Linked DNA regions of Lytechinus pictus. The protein of the gene in region 1 interacts with the protein of each later gene in a pairwise test. Links are inferred from orthologs where the notes say so. Each region holds a gene or a part of one and is shown in the gene's direction. Other genes may lie near its edges.

What was found.
Region 2: the proteins of abl interactor 2-like (region 1) and nck-associated protein 1-like interact in a two-hybrid assay, tested with the Drosophila melanogaster proteins (2 studies listed by BioGRID). The link is inferred for Lytechinus pictus from reciprocal best matches to the Drosophila melanogaster genes Abi and Hem.
Region 3: the proteins of abl interactor 2-like (region 1) and actin nucleation-promoting factor WASL-like interact in a two-hybrid assay, tested with the Drosophila melanogaster proteins (2 studies listed by BioGRID). The link is inferred for Lytechinus pictus from reciprocal best matches to the Drosophila melanogaster genes Abi and WASp.

Annotation. Positions count from the first base shown.
Region 1 is NC_087247.1:39,154,622-39,162,125, forward strand, and holds the start of abl interactor 2-like, read left to right. Parts: upstream 1-4,098; 5' UTR 4,099-4,170; coding exon 4,171-4,287; intron 4,288-5,506; coding exon 5,507-5,674; intron 5,675-5,996; coding exon 5,997-6,870; intron 6,871-7,433; coding exon 7,434-7,504.
Region 2 is NW_026974140.1:15,023,639-15,031,563, reverse strand, and holds the start of nck-associated protein 1-like, read left to right. Parts: upstream 1-4,741; 5' UTR 4,742-4,890; coding exon 4,891-5,001; intron 5,002-7,925. UniProt on the Drosophila melanogaster protein: Plays a role during growth of the oocyte.
Region 3 is NC_087247.1:47,756,338-47,763,994, reverse strand, and holds the start of actin nucleation-promoting factor WASL-like, read left to right. Parts: upstream 1-4,382; coding exon 4,383-4,472; intron 4,473-7,657.

The DNA of each region.
Region 1 (7,504 bases):
TATACGTCGGGACAAGTAACAAGGGCAGCCAGTGGTCTGGTGTGTCGAAAAATACAAGATGGCTTCCAAAAATTGAGTTTAAAATGGCTTTTAATCCTTAAAATGGACATAGCTCATATCACATCCACCTGAGAGATATGATTTTGATGTCTAGACCATGGTTTCAATGGTCAAATAATACATTGTGACAAGTTACAAGGACAGTCAGTGGTCCGGTATGTTAAAAAAATCCAAGATGTCTTCCAAAAATGGAGTAAAAAATGCTGTTGCTACTTTAAAAAAAACCAACATAGTTTGTTAAATATCCGGGAATATGATTTTTTGTGCCTATACCATGGTTAAATGGGTCAAATAATAAATTGGGATAGGTTACAAGGACGTTTGTTGGTCAAGTATGTCCAAAAGTCCACGGTGGCATAGTATCAATTAGCCGCGATGGTATTTAAAAATTGACATAGTTAGGTTTTATTCGTCAAGGGCATATGATTTTGTTGCCTATATCATGGTTTCAAAAGGCAGAAAATTAGTTACAAGGACAGTCAGTGGTCCAGTATGTCGAAAATCTAAGAAAGCTTCCAAAAATCGGAGTCTAAAATGACTGCTGTTACTTTAAAAATGGACATAGTTCCTTTAAATTCCACCTAGGAGATATGATTTCGGTGTCCACACTATGGTTTCATGATTAAAATAATACGTTTGGACTGGTTACATTGATATGCAGTTGTCCAGTTTGCCTAAAACACAAGAGGGTTTTTAAAAAAGGAATCTAAAACGACTCATATCATTCAATACTGGTCAGAGTTCTACAATATTCATCTGCAAGAAATAATGTTGGTGTCCAAATTGTGGTATGAAGGGTCAAATAATACATTCGGAAAAGTAACAAAGATGGTTAGTACCCCATTTTGTCAAAGATTCTAAAATTTCATCAAAATGGGTGCTGTTACCAACTCATGAAACAATATGATAACTTGTCCCCATGCATTTAAGTGTAGGCACCAAGATTATTTCTAACAGGTAGATATTTTATGTAACGGTAGTCACTTTAGAACCCATTCTTAAGCCAACTTGGATTTCAAGGCAAAATGAATTGCTGCATATCATGGTAACCAGTCCCAAAGTATTGTTTGGCCCTTGAAACCCTAGTGTAGACACCAAAATAATATCCCCAAGGTGTATTTATAATGTTCTACATCCCCTTTTAAGTAACAGCAGTCTTTAAGACCCCCATTTTTAAAGCCATCTTTGATTTTTGGACATACCTGACACCTGACTGTCCTTTGAACTTATCCCAATGTATTGCTTGACCCTGTAAACTCTAGTATAGACAGCAAAATCATACCTCCAAGGTGTATTTATAATAAACTATGCATACTTTTAAACAACAACAGTCAATTTACACCCCATTTTTTTAAGTAATCTTGGATTTTTTAACATACAGACAACTGACTGGTCTTGTAACTTACCCTAGTGTATTACTTGACCCTTTTAAACCATGCTTTTAACACCAAACTCATATTCCCCAGACAGATGTTAAACAAACTATGTCCTTATGTAAGTAACATCAGACATTTTTTTACTCCATTTTTGGAAGCCATCTTGTAATTTTGGACGTACTAAGCCACTGACTGCCATTGTCTTGTCCTAATTTATTATTTGACCCTTGAAACCATAGTTTAGACACCGAAATCATATCTCACAGGCTGAGTTAAAACGAGCTATGCCACTTTTAAGTATCAACAGCCATTTTAGAATCAAGTTTTGGAAGCCAACTTAGGTTTTTTGACCGACCAGGCCACTGACTGTCCTTGTAACTTGCCCTAATGTATTAATTGATCCTTGAAACTAGTGGTTTAGACACAGAAATCACCTTTCCAGGCCAATATGAAATGAGCTTTGTCCGTTTTAAGTATCAGCAGCATATTTTTAAGACCAATTTTTTGACACCATCTTCGATTTTTGGACATACCAGACCATTGACTGTCCTTGTAACTTATCCTAATATATTTTTGACCCTTGAAACCAGTGGTTTAGACATCAAAATCACATATCCCAGTCCAAAATGAAATGAGCTATGTCCGCTTTAAGTATAAGCAGCCATTTCAGAATCAATTTTTAGAATCCATCGAGGATTTTTGCACATACCAGCCCACTGACTTTCCTTGTAACTTGTCCGAATGTATTATTTGACCCATTTAACCATGGTATAGACACAAAAAAAAATCATATTTCTGGACATTGAGCAAACTATGTCGGGTTTTTAAGTAGCAACAGCAGTTTTCGACTCCATCTTTGGAAGCCATCTTGGATTTTTGAACATACTGGACCACTGACTGTCCTTGTAACGTGTCCCAATGTCTTATTTGACCATTGAATTCGTGGTCTAGACACCAAAATCATTATGTCCCAGGCGGATATGAAATGAACTATGTCCATTTTAATTATCAACAGCCATTTTAAACTCCGTTTTTGGAAGCAATCTTGGATTTTTGGACACACCAGACCACTGGCTGTCCTTGTAACTAGTTTCAATGTACTATTTCACCCTTAAAACCATTGAATGAAAAACAAATTTAGATGAATTGTGGATTTTCAGCCCACGGCAGCCATTTTGGGCGCCATCTTGGATTTGCCTGGTACACTGGAGGGCTTATAATTCTTTCTTGCCTAAATCAACTTTTGTGCCCCAGACCATGGAATATAGAACGAAATAGGATTCTAGGGTGGATAATGTGTCAGTTGTATCAATTTTCAGTGAATGGCGGCTATCTTGGACGCCATCTTGAAAATAACCACTTTCCCGGATGCGGATTTAGGTAGATTTTTAGTATGTTATTCCTGAGGTCAAATAGTACAAAATACCGTTGAAAAATCATTTGTTGCAATTTGTTCCGGGTAAGGCTATTTTTGGTCGTATATTGACCCGTCTACGTATGTTCTGCGGATATCTTCGGAGCGGAATTTTGGATCGCGCGCCCAGCTGATTATGTAAACAAACGTAGACGTAGACTCTTCACTAGTCGCTTTGTGGCTATTTTTTCGGAAAATGCCTTCGCCAGGGTGTAAAACGGAAACGCGCACCCAGGGCCCCGTCCCGGGGGGGGGGGGGGCACTCAGTATATAATGCATAGTGGGTATGTGCCGCGGAGGGGACCCCCATTTTTACACTCAAATTTCCGTTCCAATTAAGGCATAGCATTTTTGTCTTATTGAGAAAAAGAACAAAGAAAGCCGCTCCAAGGCATAGCATTTCCTTCTTATCGAGAAAAAAGAAGAAAGAAATCCGCTCCAAGGCTTCGCATATTTTTCGTTACGCCGTTCCGGTCGCATTGATCTGCTACAATTTTGGTGAAAAGCGGCCGTAGAGCGCTTTTCGACCATCGCCTAAGCGCGAGCGCACCCGGCGGAGGCCGCGCTAGCTGCGTCGTGCACGTTGCCCGTTCCATAGGGATGCATACGCACTCACAGAGATACGGAGATCCGTTCCGAGGACCCCCGTTTTCACAAACATTTGTAGTTCCGAGGACCCTCCTTTTTACAATAAGCCCGCTCCAATTATAAGGCCCCCGTTTTTTGCCTCGCCCGCGGCACACCCCTACCACTTTTTTGGTCGAGTGCCCCCCCCCCCGGGGGCCCCGTCTTACAATCCTACATGTACGAATTGATCCAATCAACCACAATTATGGAAAGCCAGCAACGTCAACATTTGAAATAAATGTTTGTTCAAAATATTTCCAAGATATGTAAATACATTTACTGTTTTCTTGAAAATTCAGTGTTTTTCTCTTTGTTTTCAAAGCACAATGTGCAAATTTCCAAATAAAAAAAATTCCATATACTTGAGGTTGATCCCGGGGGCGCGATAGGATCTGGATCGATCGTAGCTCTTTGTAAGACGGGGCCCTGAGTGTTTCATCAATGCAACGTTTTCGTTCGACAAATTTTCAGATCTAACATCTTTCTTTGATTTTGATTGGGTGCGAAGCAATGTCACTTTGGTAACTGTCGGATTAAAACCATAAAATGACCTTCGGAAAAACGTCCGACAAATCCTTTCGAATTTCATGAAACGCTCCCCAAATACCGGAAGTGAGAGTGACACTCCTAGATTACCCATAATTCCATTTATGAACACGGAAGCTTCTGCGAACTTGGACAAAATTGTACAAAATGTCAACGTTGGAACTTCTTTTCGAAAATGAAATTCCTGCTGGAAGACAGGCTTTACAGGACAGTCATCACAACTTGCAAGATGTGGCTAATTATTGCGAAGATAATTACCGGAAGGTAGATTTAATCAATTTTTGTATTACCTCGGTCCCACTCGCAGAATTTTAAGTTGGTCATGTTATTATTGTTGGTCGAAATTGAATTGGTCCCCAACTCTGCGCACCTAAAATTTGAGTTAAGATTTAACATATATTTCTTTTTATTTCACAAAATTTTCAGTTGATAATGTTCCTGACATCATTATGAGTTAGTGTGCCAAATATCTCATGTCATGATAATTTGAAAATTTTGAATGAAATATATGATTTTTTCGGAAAAAACATTGGGCAGTCATTTTCACTTTCACTTTCAGATTGAACAAGAAAATAAAATGGTGCCCCATGTCTGCGCACCCATTCACTCTGGGATTTTGAGAAAGGCTGCATTTTGAGGCCGTCACAAGAAATGCCCAAAATTCATTATTTTTCCACCATTTTGATGAATATCTTTCTATGTATTGCATGTGTAAATGTGTTCATTACGTATCTTTTACTAGAATCGCGCAGATACGCAAGTGCGCAGACAAGGGGGACTGCGCAGACGGGAACTTACCAAACTTATATTATGATGGTGGTCCCCAAGCCTGCGCACCTAACGATTTAATTATTTTCCCACCATTTTAAATCAGATTTTTTTATGAATATCTGTCTATGTATTGCATGCGTAAAATTTCTGTTCTTTTACTATAAATACTAGAATCACGCAGATTACATGTATAGGTGTGACAAACAGACTCCACAACAATGAAAAAATAAAACTCAAACTGAAAATTTAAGATTAAAAGAAGTCTAAACGAATGAACCAGTCACATAAAAATTGAAACAGGATATTAAGATAATACCTGTGAAGTGACAAACCACCCAAGACCAAGTGATTTTAATGAAACTGCCTTTTCCCTGCCTATCTTTAGAATATTATGGCATTGAAAAAGACATATTTTTGCCTCTGACTGTCATCTTCCCTCAAACTTAGTGGTCATGATGTCCCCCAATCTAATGTGGACTTCAAATCTACAGTAGCTCAGCCCTTTTCAAACTTGAAAAATATTATACAGGTTTACTTGGATGTAGGTGAGGCAATTAGTCTCACTTTTTCTATGAAAAACATTACTGAGCTTAGTTGCTTCATATCTGAATGAGGCATCAACAAATCATAAGATAATCCCATCCCATCCTACCATACATTACCACACAAATCACTCTCATCATATATTTCCTTTTCTATCTTTTTGATAAAGGCCTCTGATAAGAGGAGAGCACTTGAGGAAACAAAGAACTTCACCACTCAATCTCTTGCCAGTGTGGCATATCAGATCAACACACTTGCTACCAGTATGTTGCAGATGCTAGATCTTCAAGCCACACAGCTGGCCAACATGGAGTCTAGCATCAATCACATAGCACAGGTAAGCTCAATCTTTTTCCTCAGTTTCAACTTGGTAAAGACAGTGTGGAAGCAATTTAATTTCTTCTATGTAAAGTACTGTACATGTTGATTTTGACTCATTAAGAATTCACACTGTCTGATGTGTTTTAGGCCCTCCCCCCAACTTGTTCCATAAAATTGTTATTGTTTCTTTATACACCATAGTACTTAGTATTGGACTAATAAAATGTGTGATTGGAGGTACAGCAAATTCATTTAGCATGAGCCTGGTGGTTATTCGACAAATCTGTGGAATTGCCAAAGTACAGTTGTAAACAAATCTCTCTTTTTTTTTCTTTCAGAATGTTGCCATCCACAAGGAGAAAGTAGCACGTCGAGAGATTGGTGTGTTAACCACCAATAAGAATTGCCCTCGCACTCATAAGGTTGTCACACCACCCAATCCTGAGAAGCAGCTTAAGTATAAGTCCACTCCCATTGATTTTTCAGCTCTGGATGACGTAGGTCATGGTCTCAAACTTAGTTCTCCTTCAACAACGTCAGGTAGACCACGAACAGATTCACAAGCAAGCACTTCTACATCTAACAGTGGTGGTGGTGGAGCATATGAAGCATTGCCAGTTTACCAGCCACGACTGGATGACCCGTACAACTCCATGCGTAGACGAATGCCCAATCACCCACCAGTTGCACCAACTGTACCACCACAGTATATGTCTATTGGTAAAGTGGGCATGCGGGATTCTCACCACGGGGCGCCACCAAAGGAAAGGCCATCGATTCCAGGATACATGCAGGGACAACCAGACCCAAATGTACCTGCAGCCCCACCCCCTCCACCAAACATGCCAGGTACACACCCTGGTATGGCACCAGTCGGCCAAGTGCCACCTCCACCACCTGTCATGAGTGGGCCTCCACATACTAACATGGGCCAACCACCACCACCTAATATGGGACCTCCTGCCCCTCCTGCACCCCCAATAGGAGGTATGATGCCCCCAGCACCATCACCTGCACCAGCTGTACATCAGCTACCTCCAGCAACACACCAACCACCCCCAGCAGCCCAACAACCACCCCCGCAGCAACAGCCAAATTTTGCTGCCCAGCTGAACCAAGCTATTGGAATGAGGCCAGGTGCAGGAGAAGCCCAACGTAACTCCATTAACCCATATGGGGATATCGGGATGCCTCCACCACCTGATATGGGAGGTAGGTTCCGGACATCTCAAGTGCTTTTGGAAGTAAAGGCCAAGAAATTCAGTCATTTCAATTCCTTTTTCACTTTAATCATGACATGGTTGCATAGATATATGCATGATTTATTTAATGCTCAAGTATCAAGTCATATTACAATCACTTGGTGAGAATCGGGCTGCATGAAGATCATTATTAAACCAGGCACCCTCAGATATAAAATGAGAAACACTGATAATATCTAATGTCTCATAATCACCATTCTGTATCTTTCTCAGATGTATTTCATTGCACTGTTGATGATGATTTCCTGCACATGACAACATTCAATACTAGGGCTCTGCTGTAAAATATGTATCATCAGTGCTTTGGTTACTTTTCATTAATAGTAACTATCATACTACTACACTTCCAATCACAATCAAGGTTTCCATGGAACTTATCATTAAATTACAAAGTACTGTTAGTATCGATGATCAGTTTGTGCAACAGAGCCCTGGATGATAAAGAAACAAAATGAAATAACTCTGTTAATGTGTTACTTTTGCACCAATTTCACCCACCCATTTTATCAACAGCCTCAGATCTGCCACCTCCTCCTATGGATTCTATGGTATATAGCCAAGACAGTGTGGTGATGCCTCCACCT
Region 2 (7,925 bases), on another chromosome or scaffold:
GGATGTAAAATAAGAAAGTTATGACATTTTAAAGTTTCGCTTATTTTTCACAAAACAGTGATATGCACAACTAGGTGAGTCAGTTGATGATGTCCATCACTCACTATTTCTTTTGTTTTTTATTGTTTGAATTATACAATATTTCATTTTTTATAGATTTGACAATAAGTACCAACTTGACTGAACCATAATATAGTGTTAAACAATGCTAATTCCAGATGTTCAGGGAGGAATTAATCGTTTTCACACTTGACAATGAGGAGATAATTAGAATATTTCATATTTCATATAATAAAATACAAAAGAAATAGTGGGTGGATGACGTCATAGTCTCCTCATTTGCATACCAGCCAGGATGTGCATATAACTGTTTTGTGAAATTAAGCGAAACTTTGAAATGTCATAACTTTCTTATTTTACATCCGATTTTGATGAAAATTTCAGTGTTATGCTTGTTGGATTTTTCTCTTTTTATTCAAATCAACTTTTTGTTGCGGCGGACTTGTCCTTTAAGGCTTAACAAGACAGTATTGGCGTGTGAAACCCTACCTAAAGTGGAAAAATTTGTATTTTCAATGTCACAGACTCATTTTAAAGGGTAATAAAGTGAATATTGGGGGCATATTCGGTTTCAAATAAGACTTTAATTCCTATTGTTTTTATCATCCATCATTTCTATCACCACACACTTTCCGAACTTTAAACATTTCCATGGTTGAGCGAGCACATTCAAAAACTTAGGAATAAATACTCTTTATACTGCATAAATGTATTCTTTTCCTAACAATTTCTCATGATCAGGTTAATTTATGGACAAATCAGTGATGGGTCCAGAATTTTAAAATGGGGGGAGGGGCCTATAATCGGGGGAGCCACCAACATTTTCAAATTTTAACATGATCTAACAAGTTGTAGAAGATACAACCATAAACCCCTATGATGATACGTTACAATACAGGGGCCGGGGAAGGGTTTTCAAAGTGGGGGGGGGGGGGGGGCTGACCATGCAAAAAATCACAATCGTATGGTCATTTTTACATTTTTGTACATGCTTTTGGAAAAAAGTGGGGGGATGAAGCTCCCCGCCCAGCCCCCCCCCCCGCTTCTGAGGCCCCTGCAATATATTGTGCTCACTCAACCATGAATATATGATATCAAAATTGTGTGTGGAGTGGCTAAATGATGGATAGTAAAGCAGCATAACACCATAAAATTCACTTAAAGACAACATTTGCCCAACTTTGTATGTGCACAATCTGAAAAACGACTCTTGTGACTTTCAAAAATGGTCATTTTTAATTCAATCTTTAATTACTCATGCATGACTCAACCGATCAATCTTATTTTTCTCCGGGAGTTGCTTAATGAGTGTAGAAAACCACCTACGGAATATCATATCTCAAAATAATTCCGTTCAAAAGTTACAGCAATTTGATTTAGGGGGGACATACTTTTTTTTGTTGTGTATATATTATTTCTGCTCTTTTGGCAAATTAATAAAAAAAAATTCTCTGTCACACAAAAAAACAAGAAACAAACAAATGGAAGAAAAGTTGATATATGGTTTTGCAAAAGGCTTGCAAATATGTCCTTGTCATTCCTCGTATAGAGCTCGGGGAAGAAATATTTCTTTATTTTTATATAAGATTAGGCCGACTGTTTACTTCACCCCTCAAATTTCTTCTGACTTTTTATATGTTATAATGTGGATATGTATAAGGCATGAAAAAATGAAGTTATAATTTCACAATTGAGAATTTACTTTTCTTAGTTGAAAACATTGTTAAATGGTAATCAAATTTGACAAAAGACCAATGACACGCCTAATGATACTATCGATATCATGATTATCAATATTCTCAGTCACCGTTATCATTGTCATTTAAAAGAATCGAAGACGTTAGAATATAATATGAGGTGAGCCTTTTTACGAGAGATGATATCATTTTCAAAAATAATACTCTGATCTCTTTCAAACTATGTTATGGCAAGAATAAAGAGAACTTAATGAAAGCAATTGCCCTGCAATAAAACTGGAAAGGGACACTGTAATTAGCATTCCTATCCTGATATAAATTATAAAAATCCCTTCAAAATTTTAATTCGAAAATAGTTTGCATAGATCTCGCCTAGTACTGTATTACTACTTTGACACCTGGTATATGCTCGACCCCGCTAAATCTTTACTTTGATAGAAATTGATTTGTTTCAGAAAAAATGTTTATTTGGATTTATAGCTAGGGTGATATGTTTGAGGTTTAGATTATCATGTTGTTCCTGTGAGAAATTGTCGCAATTAAGTCATGGAGTCATCAAAAGGTTTTTAAGAAAGCGAGGCCAAGTAAGCCGGACTGAGGCTAGAGTTTGAAGATTAGAACATAACGGGGGATGCATGAATGTTTAATATTGTATGATATTATGATAGACAGTCTTCAGTATCTTTTTATAATCATTTACAAATAAAACTCCGTTCATGGTTTACAATATATATGATTCCTCTCGATGTCGTAGGCCTAATAGGCCTATCGCAGGGGAGGCCTTAATTGGGGGTGCTTGCCCCCCCCCCCCCTCCAAAAAAAAATCATGACCTAGTAAAAAAAGAAGAGAAGGGGATTGATAAAAGGGAAAGAGAGAAAGGTGAGATATGATATCATTTCCTGAATATTATGTCAATATCTATGACAATATTAGATTTTTGTAATATATCACTCTCAACTTCTTACGCGGTACGCCATACCTAGCTCCTTCAAACTTTCTGCACTACGCCACCATCACTGAGCAGCGAGTAACACTTCCTGGCGGAGAACTTCGGGGAATGCCTACAAAATATATATTTTTTTTAATCGAACGCACATTAAAGCAATTAAGCCAGCGCGATAACCGGTGAGCTAAAATCTTTGATATACTGATATGTAAAAAAGGAAAATGTCAAGGACTGTTTCTTGCCGGTTTCTTGCTATTAGTTTAGAGGATCAAACACCTCACGATTCGATCATATATTGCGAGCGCGAAGCGCAAACTGAACATTTGTTTTGTATCCAGACCGGAAAACGGAGTATTTATATAACCACTTGTTTGTAATAGGTTCTCTATCTCTATCTCACTACATATTATACTGACCCGAAAATGAAAGTTTCGATCATTGTTTGACATGAAGAAAATTATTATGTGGATATATACTGTACGTTCCCCTGCCCCCCCCCCCCCCCTCGGTGTTGCGCCTCGTCGGATGGGGACCCACGAATCGGACGATAATTCCTTTTGTACGTCCCGCAGATATCAGACTACAGATTTTGTATGGTTGTGTATATAAAAGTCAAACCCAGCTTTTCGGGGGGAGGGATACATTCTTTATAGTTTTTTTTTTTATAATGCAAGTTTAATACTAGGAAATAAAAAAATATATTTTTGATAAACATCGGGATAAACATGCAGCGTTTTCTTGATGAAAATGCATGGTTTTTCATTCGATTGACATTAGTTTTCTAAATAATTTATTTTTTCTAGTGAAATTATTTTGTTATATATAGCTAAGGAATGAAGCTGCTGTTTTGTATTTGGATAATTGGGTGAAAAGAAATGATTGTTTTATGAGACAGCATGGTCATAGATTGTGTAACGAAAACCTGGAGGGGCAATATGCTGCAATCACAATCACATAAATGGACACCGTATACTCCTATATTTAAACTGGATTAAACAACGGAAGGCTAATCCCTCTCATTCCGCGGTCCAGAATAGGCCTATGCCATATGATTTCCTTGTGCTAAATAATGCCTAATATGTTTCTGGGGCCAGTGAGAACTCTCTGATCGATGGTTCGATCAGCTTGGCTTCATGAGCTCACATTATATTATGTGTCCTGTTCATGATTATAAAATGTCATATTGCATAAAACTTTCGTTTTTTAGGTCAGTACACTAAAAAGAAAATTTAGCTCACATGCATTTAGTATTTATAGTGAGATACTTAAACTTATGGATATACTTTTTTTGTATGATGAATTCAAACGGCATTAAAACTTCCCTGTTCAATTCAGTATGAAAAAAATGGGTCGTGCTTCATACCTAAATTGTTATAATTTGTACTGAAAAATAACGCCAAGAAATTACTTCAATCTTTGATTCTGGACCCCCGTTCCGACCCCCATCCCCACCAATTAGCTCTTCCAGCAGCCCGGCTTTTGCAGAAAAATATGGATAACATTTTTCTCCTTCCCCGCCCACTCTCACCCCCTCCTGATGCACATCTGTTTTCGAGTAAAAACGCTCGATCACTTGAAAAAAAAAATTGTTTATTAAAAAAAAAAACTGTTTATCCCATCGAGACTCGGAAAATTCCTTTGCGGTAAAATAAGTTTATCAACCACGAACTATTTCTTTAATAAAAAAAAGTTACGTTCACTAGTTGACATTTATGACCCTGTATGGAAAAAATACCTTGATAGAAAAAACAGTCCATATGTCTAGGGGGGGGGGGGCATTAGGCGCGCCACGCATGTTTATTGATTTTCCTTCCGCATTCACGTGCTGAAATTCTATATGGTTCACGATATGCATAAGATGATATTGCCGGCTTACATTAAAAAAATAATATATTTATGTGTATCAAAATATATATTTATAATCTAAGTGATGTAAAATAATAAATTCTATTAATATCAATTATTTTTATTCGAAAAAGTGGAAGTAAAAAAAAATCTTATTTATATAAAAAAGCCTTTAATAAAGTTTGTAAATTGTTTTGATGGACTTTCTTCCTGGTTTGCATTAACGAGCGGCTGAGTTCCCTAATTTTGCGACAAGGCCGCACCTTGAATGCTAAACCTGTATCGAATGCCCTTTATTGCAGCTTTAATTAGAGTCTAGATGTCGTTGATTACTGTCTGATATGTCCAGCAGGATGCCTGTATCTCAAGGCCAGCTCAAGCTGGCTGAAAAACTCTCAATTCTCAATGATCGTGGCACAGGAATGCTCGCAAGATTATACAACATCAAAAAGGTACGAATAACAGTGGGCCACTCATATTACCACCGTATGCAATATATGATGCACACAAGGGAATTGGTGTAAGCACGATTCCTTGATGGTTGCGTTCGAATAACACAGAAGTAAAATCACCGTTTTAGCACACTAGACGTACGATTCTATACTTACAATATTTTTGTTCCAAAATATTTTTTCACAAAATGAAATTTGCATCAATGCTTGTTGAATAGGCCCTACTAGTATGTAATTTGCAAGCCAATGTAGACTAGATAATCTCCATCTCGATAATATCATGTGAAATCATGAAATCAGTCCTTCAAGTTCAAGTTCAGCTTCACGTTTATTTCGTGGGGCTCAATAAATCGCTCTCCTTATTTTTCCAGCAGCTTAATTGAGCTTCTCAGAATCGCTCTTCTTGAGGAGCTCAAATCTATTCAATACAATATATATATGAATCTTATGATAAATTGTAGATTTTTCTTAAAATTGTAAATGCTATACTAATTTACTATCCTATAGATGTGTCTGTAGGCCTATTCTGTGGTGAAACAAGGCCTGGCCAGGCCAGGGTCAATACGTTTATTCAACGCTAGCGGTCGTGTACATTTGCTTATTACATGACGTCATCCAGCCATTGCCGAGAGCCAATTTATGAATGAAAATATAGTAAGCATGCGTAGTGCTAGACAGGAATAACCGTCGTTTCTGGGGATTTATTCAACAATTTCTGACATTTTACTGTAATCCCCATTTACCGACGGAAGGGTGTACGTGTGGGCTCGCATGTGTTCTCATTCCCTCCCTTTTGTCAATTCACAGTCCAAAGTTTGATGTAATTTTACACATCGAATTTACAATCTAAGGATGTATAAACAACAAACTTTTAAAAATTAATATTTCAATGTTTAAATACTTTAAACGATATAGATGAAAAAGGCATGAAAAATATACTTTACCGATGTTTAATTGGGTTGAACACGAAAAAAATGGTCAAAATGGCAGCCAAACTATAAAATATTTACAAACGAACGTCAACAATCACGAATGTGATATCGATATTGCTTTCGATATTATACGATCTGCTCCATATGCGAACGAAACCGAAGATAAACGATACTAGTTATACTAGTACTAGTACTAGTTATAATCGCGATATATCGATTCGAGACATTAAGTTAATAACGATAATGACGTCATTCAAGATGGCAACTTGCAAGAAAAACCGTCAGGTCAGGTGAAAATGTCTTAGATGACAGATTTCTCAATCATCCAGAGGATTTTTTTCAATAACTCCGGCCCAAGGTATGCAATTACTTAAGTTATTTATATTTCCCTGATAATGGAAACCATGAAACTTTCAATTTTGCTTAAAAAACAGTTTTAAATCGCGATCTATAAAACGCTAGTTCACTATACGTTGGCTGTAGGTACGGGGCCCCATCCCCTTCAGTCTATGTATGGTGAGTGGAGCCAACATAGTTCAGCGGAACAACCAAAATACAGAGACTGAAGCTTTTGGTCTAGCGTAGTGCAAGCCTTCCATTTCCCCACACAGTATTCCACCAAAACAAGTGTGCAATTCTCTATCACCTCGTACCTAAATCGACCTAGAAATAATTTCACTTATATTTTATATGAATTATGAAAGGGTTTCTCGGAGGTTATATTTTCTCACCGATACCGCACAGGTAAGCGAATTTCGATTACTTCTTGCTTTTCTGTCAAAATCTTACGAATTAGCGTCGGTATGGCATCGTGTTCATTGGAATTTGTAGTCTATCGCAACGTGCACAAAGTCAATTGGCTTCCCGGTTTCGGAGCGTCGCGTGAATATGCATGAAATTGCAGTTTCGATAATTTTCGATCGATGCCGGAGCGATCACGACCATTTCCCGCGTACACAAGGTGACCGGATATCGTTATCGCTATCGATACTTCTGCACGCAGTCCGATGGAATTATTTTGGCAACCACGTAGTCATGACCTGATCTGCACGATTGACCAATCAGCAGTCTCCGAATTGCTGTGCAGAGACGATCTATCCGTTGTACACAGTCTATGGACGATTTGTCGTGTAAAATATCACACTCCTGCATTTAAAAAAAAAAAACTTTTTACAAAAAATACTGTACAAAAATTTCGAAAATTTCACATTTTACATCTTTAAATCCATAAAATCGCCATCTATTTTCCTTAATTCCTTGAAATTATTTTGATTTAGTTGAAAACTAAATGAAGAATATTCAGCTCTTTCTTAATTCTTGGTACTTGGTATGATGTTCCTCCGAAATACTCCAAGAAGAGTTTTTTAAACTGATTGATGATGTTACAATCGGTAAATATTGTAGTCCCACATGTAGACTTCCATGGTGTTGCAACATTAACTGAAAATGATCGTTAGATCGTTATTGATCGATTTACACTTGGTCAACACCATGAAAATCTACATATGGGACTACAATATTTACAGAGTTTAACATCAAATCAGAGTCAGGAAAGAGGTGAATATTCTTAATTTCTTCAGTAGTTTCCAACTTAATCAAAATAATTTCAAGGAATTATGGAAAATAGATGCCTATTTCATGAAAAAAAAGATGTAAAATGTGAAATTTCAGCACCAAGGGAGGCAGCGTAGCGTAGCTCAGTCGGTTAGAGCGCCTGTTCCGGATAAGATCGTAGATCTCAACGTGCGTGGGTTAGAGTCCTGCAGCATGCCGGAAGACGTCTAATAAAAAATCTGATGGTTTTTTTAGGAGCGCAATTTTTTGTTCTCCTTATTTTTTTTTAGGAGCGCTGTAGGAGTGCCGGCGCGATCGCGCTCCTCAAAAATGAAGGTCTGTGAAATGTATTATGACTATTTTTAGTATTGCCATGTTTTGGTTTGCAGACAAAAATTGACACTGACAGCCCCTGCCCTTCGTATGACATAGTGCATG
Region 3 (7,657 bases), about 8.6 Mb from region 1:
GACTTGGGGGACCTGCATGTTATGCTGCAGTCGGAGGTCACATGGTAAGGTCATTTTCAGGTCAACGTTAAAGTTTACATGCAAGACTCTCTTATGACACCTAACTCCGCAACTGTAAGTTGCTTTTCAACCAAACTTGGATGGTAGATGGACTTGGGGAACCTGCATGTTATGCTGCAGTCGGAATTCACATGATAAGGTCAAATGTCATTTTCAGGTCAACGTTAAAGTTTACATGCAAGACTTTTTTATGACACCTAACTCCGCAACCGTAAGTCACTTTTCAACAAAACTTTTATGATAGATGTACTTAGACGACCTGCATGTTATGCTGCAGTCGGAGGTCACATGGTAAGGTCAAAGGTCATTTTCAGGTCAATGTTAAAGTTTACATGCAAGACTCTCATATGACACCTAACTCCGTAACCGTCAGTCACTTTTCAACCAAACTTGGATGGTAGATAGACTTGGGGGACCTGCATGTTATGCTGCAGTCGGAGGTCACATGGTAAGGTCATTTTCAGGTCAACGTTAAAGTTTACATGCAAGACTCTCTTATGACACCTAACTCCGCAACTGTAAGTTGCTTTTCAACCAAACTTGGATGGTAGATGGACTTGGGGAACCTGCATGTTATGCTGCAGTCGGAATTCACATGATAAGGTCAAATGTCATTTTCAGGTCAACGTTAAAGTTTACATGCAAGACTTTTTTATGACACCTAACTCCGCAACCGTAAGTCACTTTTCAACAAAACTTTTATGATAGATGTACTTAGACGACCTGCATGTTATGCTGCAGTCGGAGGTCACATGGTAAGGTCGAAGGTCATTTTTAGGTCAACAATACAGTTTACGTGCAAGGCTCTTAAGACAAGTGTTATTCCATCCCAGTCATTTCACAATGAAGTTTGATACGATTCTGTTGCGTGCCCTCGCAAATCATGATATTTCTGGTTTTTTTCATAAGTGGGCGAGACACAAAATCGCTTTTGCCTTGTTTTTTTAGATCTAGGCCTGTTTTACCATTGTCAGCCACGGTTGTTGGTGAAGTTCACGGTTGGCGGATTTGCCCTGAAAATTTTCAGGGTAGTCGCCGCCCGCCAACCGTGATGCATGGTAGCGAGAACGTTGCTACCTTCAATATAAATCAGTAGAGGCGCTGGTCAGAAAATTTGGATCGTCCCAGTTCCAGGGACTGTCTCAGTTTTCAAAGATTTTGCCACCCAAGAAATCTAACAAAGTTCATTGACCTGTCAATTGCAGACACCAATCAAGTGCGCTAGTCAATGTGAACATATCAGGTTTCATAACAAGATTATTGGACGACAGCAAGTAATTCAAAATAGACTGGGAATTGAGGTCACTGAATTTTTTTTTTAGCACTCTCAATCCCCGTAATTGCCATCTATGTCCTGCAGGGGTAAGTGCAAAAACTGTCCCCATAATAAACAAGGACAATCTCAATTTATCAAGACATGATTTGTCTTGGTTTGTGAGGATATCCTTGTTTTCTGGGACAATCCCAATTTCTGGACCAGCGCCTCTACTAATAAATAGGCCTTTGTAAATATCTTGCCATAATCGTTTTTTCATCTTTACCATATCAGCTTCCAATCGCACCCATCTTCTCATTTGAAATATTTTGGTCACTTGAAAATGGTATCGTCATGATTGTATTAACCTAGGGTTACACCAAAGCCGAATGAATCTGGACTGATTCTGCCCGAATATTGCCTGATTCAGATGAATTCTCTGTATTCAGAACTTATTAGTCTCTGATCATGCTGATAGCTGATTCGGGAAGTCCCCCCCCCCCCCATTACAGGAATTGCCAAGAATTGACCCGAATCAATTAGCCATCCTGAATAAAGCCAAATGCTACCCGAATAGTGGCAAGAATGGAGCCGAATGTGGCCGGGTTACTCCTATTACAGCTAAATGATGATCTGAATCAGAACGAATTTGGCCAAATCTGCCCAGAATACTCTGAATGTTTCACCTAATCCAACGGAATGTCATCCGAATACGGTACATCCCGAAGGTGGCCCAAATGAAATTTGTTGTGGCCACATTCATTCAGGAATATTTTAGAGGGTATTCGGTTGGTTTTGACCATTTCAAAACGAGACGAATTCTTCCACAAATGTTCTTGAGTCTTTCCCGTATTTTCTCCCATTTGCGGAGGGAGAACAGAATGCTCTCGAATCCACTGGGATACGTATTTTCGGATGGTGAGATCATAATGTAGGCATCCGTCTTAGCTTAAAACCAAAAAGTGAATAAACTATGATGACACTGACCATGAGAGGTTAGTTTGACTGATTTAAAAGTGGTCAATGGGCTTAACTTTTATCAAGGTAGTGATGTGTTTAGATCTCTGAATTATTAAAGTTTTGTGGCTTGTAAATTATTCCTGAGTTTGCAATAGCCATTGAAACATAAAACTGACTTAATACTTGGCATGTTACCTATAGTACGAATATATCAAGTTGGTTTAATCAATGTTATAAGTGTATTTTAAAGGAAATTTGAATAAGTATTTAGACATACATGTAGTGCATGAATCTAGACCTATGACAGCAAAGTCTCACTGCCTAATTATGTCCAAGTTATACTTAGATCTCATTATGCGCCCGTCTCGACGGGACATATTATGGTCATGCTCGGTGTCCGTCCGTCAACTTTTCCTTGTAAACGCGATAACTCCAGTTTAACTTAACCTAGGCTCATGTAGTGTGGTGTGTATAATACTAGCATGAATCCCAGGAAGCCTATGGATTTTGAGGTCAAAAGGTCAAAGGTCAAGGTCATAGTGACATGTTTTCATCTTACCCTTGTGCAGTCCTTGTAAATGCGATAACTTCAGTTTAACTTAACCTTGGCTCATATGATTTGGTGTGTATAATACTAGCATGAATCCCAGGAAGCCTATGGATTTTGAGGTCAAAAGGTCAAAGGTCAAGGTCATAGTGACATGTTTTCATCTTACCCTTGTGCAGTCCTTGTAAATGCGATAACTTCAGTTTAACTTAACCTAGGCTCATATAATTTGATGTGTATAATACTAGCATGAATCCCAGGAAGCCTTTCAATTTTGAGGTCAAAAGGTCAAGGTCACAGTGACATGTTTTCATCTTACCCTTCTGCAGTCCTTGTAAATGCAATAACTTCAGTTTAACTTAACCTAGGCTCATGTAGTTTGGTGTGTATGATATTAGCATAGATCCCAGGAAGCCTATCAATTTTTTGGTCAAAAGGTCAGAGGTCAAGGTCACAGTGACAGGTTTTCACCTTACACTGCTGCAGTCCTTGTAAATGCGATAACTTCAGTTTAACTTTACCTAGGCTCATATAATGTGGTTTGTGGTGTGTATGGTACTATTATGGATCCCAGGAAACCTATTGATTTTGAAGTGCAAAGCCCAAGGTCACAGTGACATGTTTTCATCTTACCCTTCTGCAGTCCTTGTAAATGCGATAACTTCAGTTTAACCATGGACCTATTACGATGGACATTCAACGAATCCCCTCCTTTGGGCCAAAGACCGTCACCGCTAATCCTTTTATAAACAGAGCGCTGGCAGCTGACGCCCATCAAGCCGGTCGTAAAACAAGCTATCACTGATGGACAGCGGAAATCAATTGTACGCTGCTCCTACACATTGCGATGTTGTTCGTTCACTTTATCAAAAGCAACGCACGGCAGCGAACGTTAGCACTATGAAAATGATTGCAGAAACAAGAAAACAGGCGTGCATAAAGGTATTTTTTACGTACATCGCAAACAACCGCACATGAAATGCATTGACATCGTCGTGCAGATCAGTATATCTACTGCAAAAAAGCAGTTGAAATTTGATGGAGAAATGTGCGGAAAAACGTTAAAAATGCATCTTTTTCGGACAGTATTGATGTCGATAGTAGCGCTTACCTTCGGTCAGAAGTTGATTTTCATTTGGGCATAAAATTCCACAGGATTGATGAAATTTAACGGGATTTTTTTTCATGGTCAGACGACAATCGCACATTATAGACAGCCTAAAATAATGTACTAAAAAAACGGAGATGAGTTGCGCATTGCATTTTAGGTAATGTAGGGACTTTCCCTATTGGCAATCGGGCTAAAACATGACCGTCTTTGGTCGAAAGAGGGCCAGTGATCGATCGATGACGATCAATGGCCGAAAGGAGCTTGTGTAAACAATCGCCCCGGGCGGTCGTCGTAAAAACCGCGTAAAGAGAAAGTTAAAGGTTAGACAGCGATTTTGACAGCTGGAAACAGGTGGTGGTCATAAAATGCTATCGTTGAATGTCCATTCGTAATAGGTCCATGGTTTAACTTAACCTAGGCTCATGTAGTTTGGTGTGTATGATATTAGCATGGATCCCAGGAAGCCTATCAATTTTGAGGTCAAAAGGTCAAAGGTCAAGGTCACTGACAGGTTTTCACCTTACCCTGCTGCAGTCCTTGTAAATGCGATAATTTCAGTTTAACTTAACCTAGGCTCATATAATGTGGTGTGTATGATACTATTATGGATCACAAGAAGCCTATTGATTTTGAGGTCAAAAGTTCAAGGTCACAGTGACATGTTTTCATCTTACCCTTCTGAAGTCTTTGTAAACGTGATAACTTTAGTTTAACTTAACCCAGGCTCATCTAATTTGGTGTGTATGATACTAGCATGGATCCCAGGAATTCTATTGACTTTTAGGTCAGACTGTCAAAGGTGAAGTCGCCACCTTCCACTTTTTTTTTTGCTTGGCAAATAACTCCATTTTCCGCTTTACAGGCAGGCGTATTATGTGCTCGCCTTATAGCGACACTTGTAGAATTAGGGTTAGGGTATGAAGATGAAGAATACATACCTTGGCTTTATTTAGTCAGCAAGGTTACTGTGGTGACATCCTGGGGCTAACGTGGGAAGGGTCCCCGCGCCAAGTTGTATTTCTAAAACTGCACAGCTATGGTAGAAATCCACTGCCACTGGGCATAAATGGCCCCCAAAATCCCCCTGGTCTTTCAACTGATTAGATAGCCAATAATCTAGTAATAAGATTTTGACTGTTACAATATCATTGGTAAATTGTTGAAATGCATGTCACCCATGGCCATATCATTGGAAAATCAAAAGCCCAATATGAATTTGGCAAAGTACTAAAAGTCACAAGTATTCACAAGGCTTAGCCTAGATACAATCTAGCTGTCACATGGCTATATTCCATTAGCTTGGTACACCACACAGTCAAACAGCTTGGGTGAGAACAACTGGCACTATACTACATATACATGTAGCATACTCACAAGTCTCATGCAACAGTCATTAGGTGTGTACAAATCTGTGTCATGTGGCTTTATTCTGTTAGCGTGGTATTCTGCACAAATATTACAACAGAAGATATACTCGCTGTAAGACGAGAACTACTAGAAAATTCACAATGCCATCTAGTGACAAAAACATTGTCGTAGCTCCCTATATAATGCCCAAGCCATTAACACCTTCTTGCTGGTACATCGTGAAGGCGGAGGACATGTATGCTCAAGGTTCCTTGATTAAGTCAACATCACAACCTTCAGTTTTGTTTCTAATTAAAACTTGTTGTATTTATGTGCATTAAAACAATTCACAAACTTCTCTCCTGACAGGTATACAACAGAGGAGCAAGAGAGTAATAGACAGAGTTATATGGGAAGAGAGATAGAGAAAGAGTGAGAATGCAACAAACACCAAACCAAAACAAAAATCATAAAATGATTTTTTTTCCATTTTCTTTTATAATAACCCCCCCCCCAAAAAAAAAATATATATATTTATTTATATATATGATAATAAATAGATATAACCATGCCCCATTTTTTACTCTATACCCTTCAAAAACTGCCCTCTTTCAGAATGTTGGTTTTCAATTCAAATTCAAATAAACATTTATTTTCTTCCGTTTCACAAATTTCTACATTTTTCGTAAACATAAATTGATACAAAAATCAGTTTGTCATGTAGAATATGAATATGTACATGTTTGGTATATAGAAGATGGCATATACCCTACATGTAAATGCAAAGGCCTGTGGCGGGATATGCCTATAGATATAAATACAATACACAATACAATTGATAATACTAGGTCAGTTGATATTGATGAAATGTGGGTGGCTGTTGCAAAAGGAACTCTTTCTTTAAAAATTAATTCTACATTTTATAAAACGAAAGTTAGCACTTATGGCATGGGCATGATATTATCATGATTATTCATGAATCCACTTCATATTTTGTCTTAATTTTGTTGTTAACATTCCATTGTGTACATGGTTCTTCTCTGCAGTACCTCATTTCATTAATTAAAAGCTACACCCCTTCTAGATCCTTGTGTTCCACCACTTCAAGTTCACTTGTTACCCCCAAATTTTCCAAATCTGGGGGGGGGGGGTCATTTATCCTCTTATCCTCTAAGTTATGGAACGATCTTTCTGAGATTATTAAAAAAGATTTAACTTCTGAAACTTAAACAAAAAACCTAAAAACATTTCTTTTCAATTCTCCTTAATTTCATAATTCATGATTTATAAATATTGTCTTGAGCACTCTGCAGAATGGCTTTGACGCTATATTAGTCCAACATTATTGTTGATGCTGGAGCTGCATTTTGTACGTAAAGCAATGTACACAATATCAGTCTGATTAAAAACAATGATCTAATTGACATAAAAACAAAAGAAAACAAAGTTTTGGGAAAGCATGAGAACAATTATTATGGGCATCTTTTAAGTATGCCTACCTCTTATGTTGTTTACAGAGTAATAAGAATATTGTAAGAAAGGGTCCAGTATTCCTCTTTTTATGCGCCAACATTCCTGTGCGACTTTCAGCAAAACATAAAGGCACGAATTCACAAAGTTGATTTTCGAAACCATCGGTTGAACCCATGGTTTATGCAGATTTCATGTATAAATTACGCTTATTTACCGCATACTAAAAAATGTCCAATGCTGATACGTGCTTTTGTCACAGTACGCCAAATAGACGCCTCTTGCCTTGGTTATCCACGCTATTTTATTAATGAGTCCACTGTTTTGAATTAATGAGTCCACTCTTCAAACAGTGGACTCATTGATAAAATAGCATACTTAACCATGGCAACAGGCGTCAATTTGGCGCACTGTGACAAAAGCGTGCATCAGCACTGGAATCTTTAATATAACATGTTAAATAAGCGTAATTTATACATGAAATCTGCATAAACCATGGGTTCAACCAATGGTTTTAAAAAGAACTTTTGTGAATTTGGGCCAAAGATTTCTGCTCATTATTCCATGATTTTACATTACAGCATGCACCAATTATAATAAAATTTTCTCAATCACTGTAATGCCACAATTCCATCTCTTGACCAAACCTTATCTTTTTTTTCTAAATGTATAATGATAACATTATCATGAAACAACAGGTGCAGATAATGCAAATTTGAATCGGGTTTGCTAAATCTTTAGTTTACATGATATGTGTGTTAAAGTTAGGTGAAATAGTGAATGGAAAGTTCAAATTTAAGTATCATAAGATTTGACTGATCTTTTCAACGAGACAGTTTGCATAAGCATAATCGTAGGTTAGATTTATAAGCAGATGGAGTGATCATAACTTTTTATTTTTAGCATT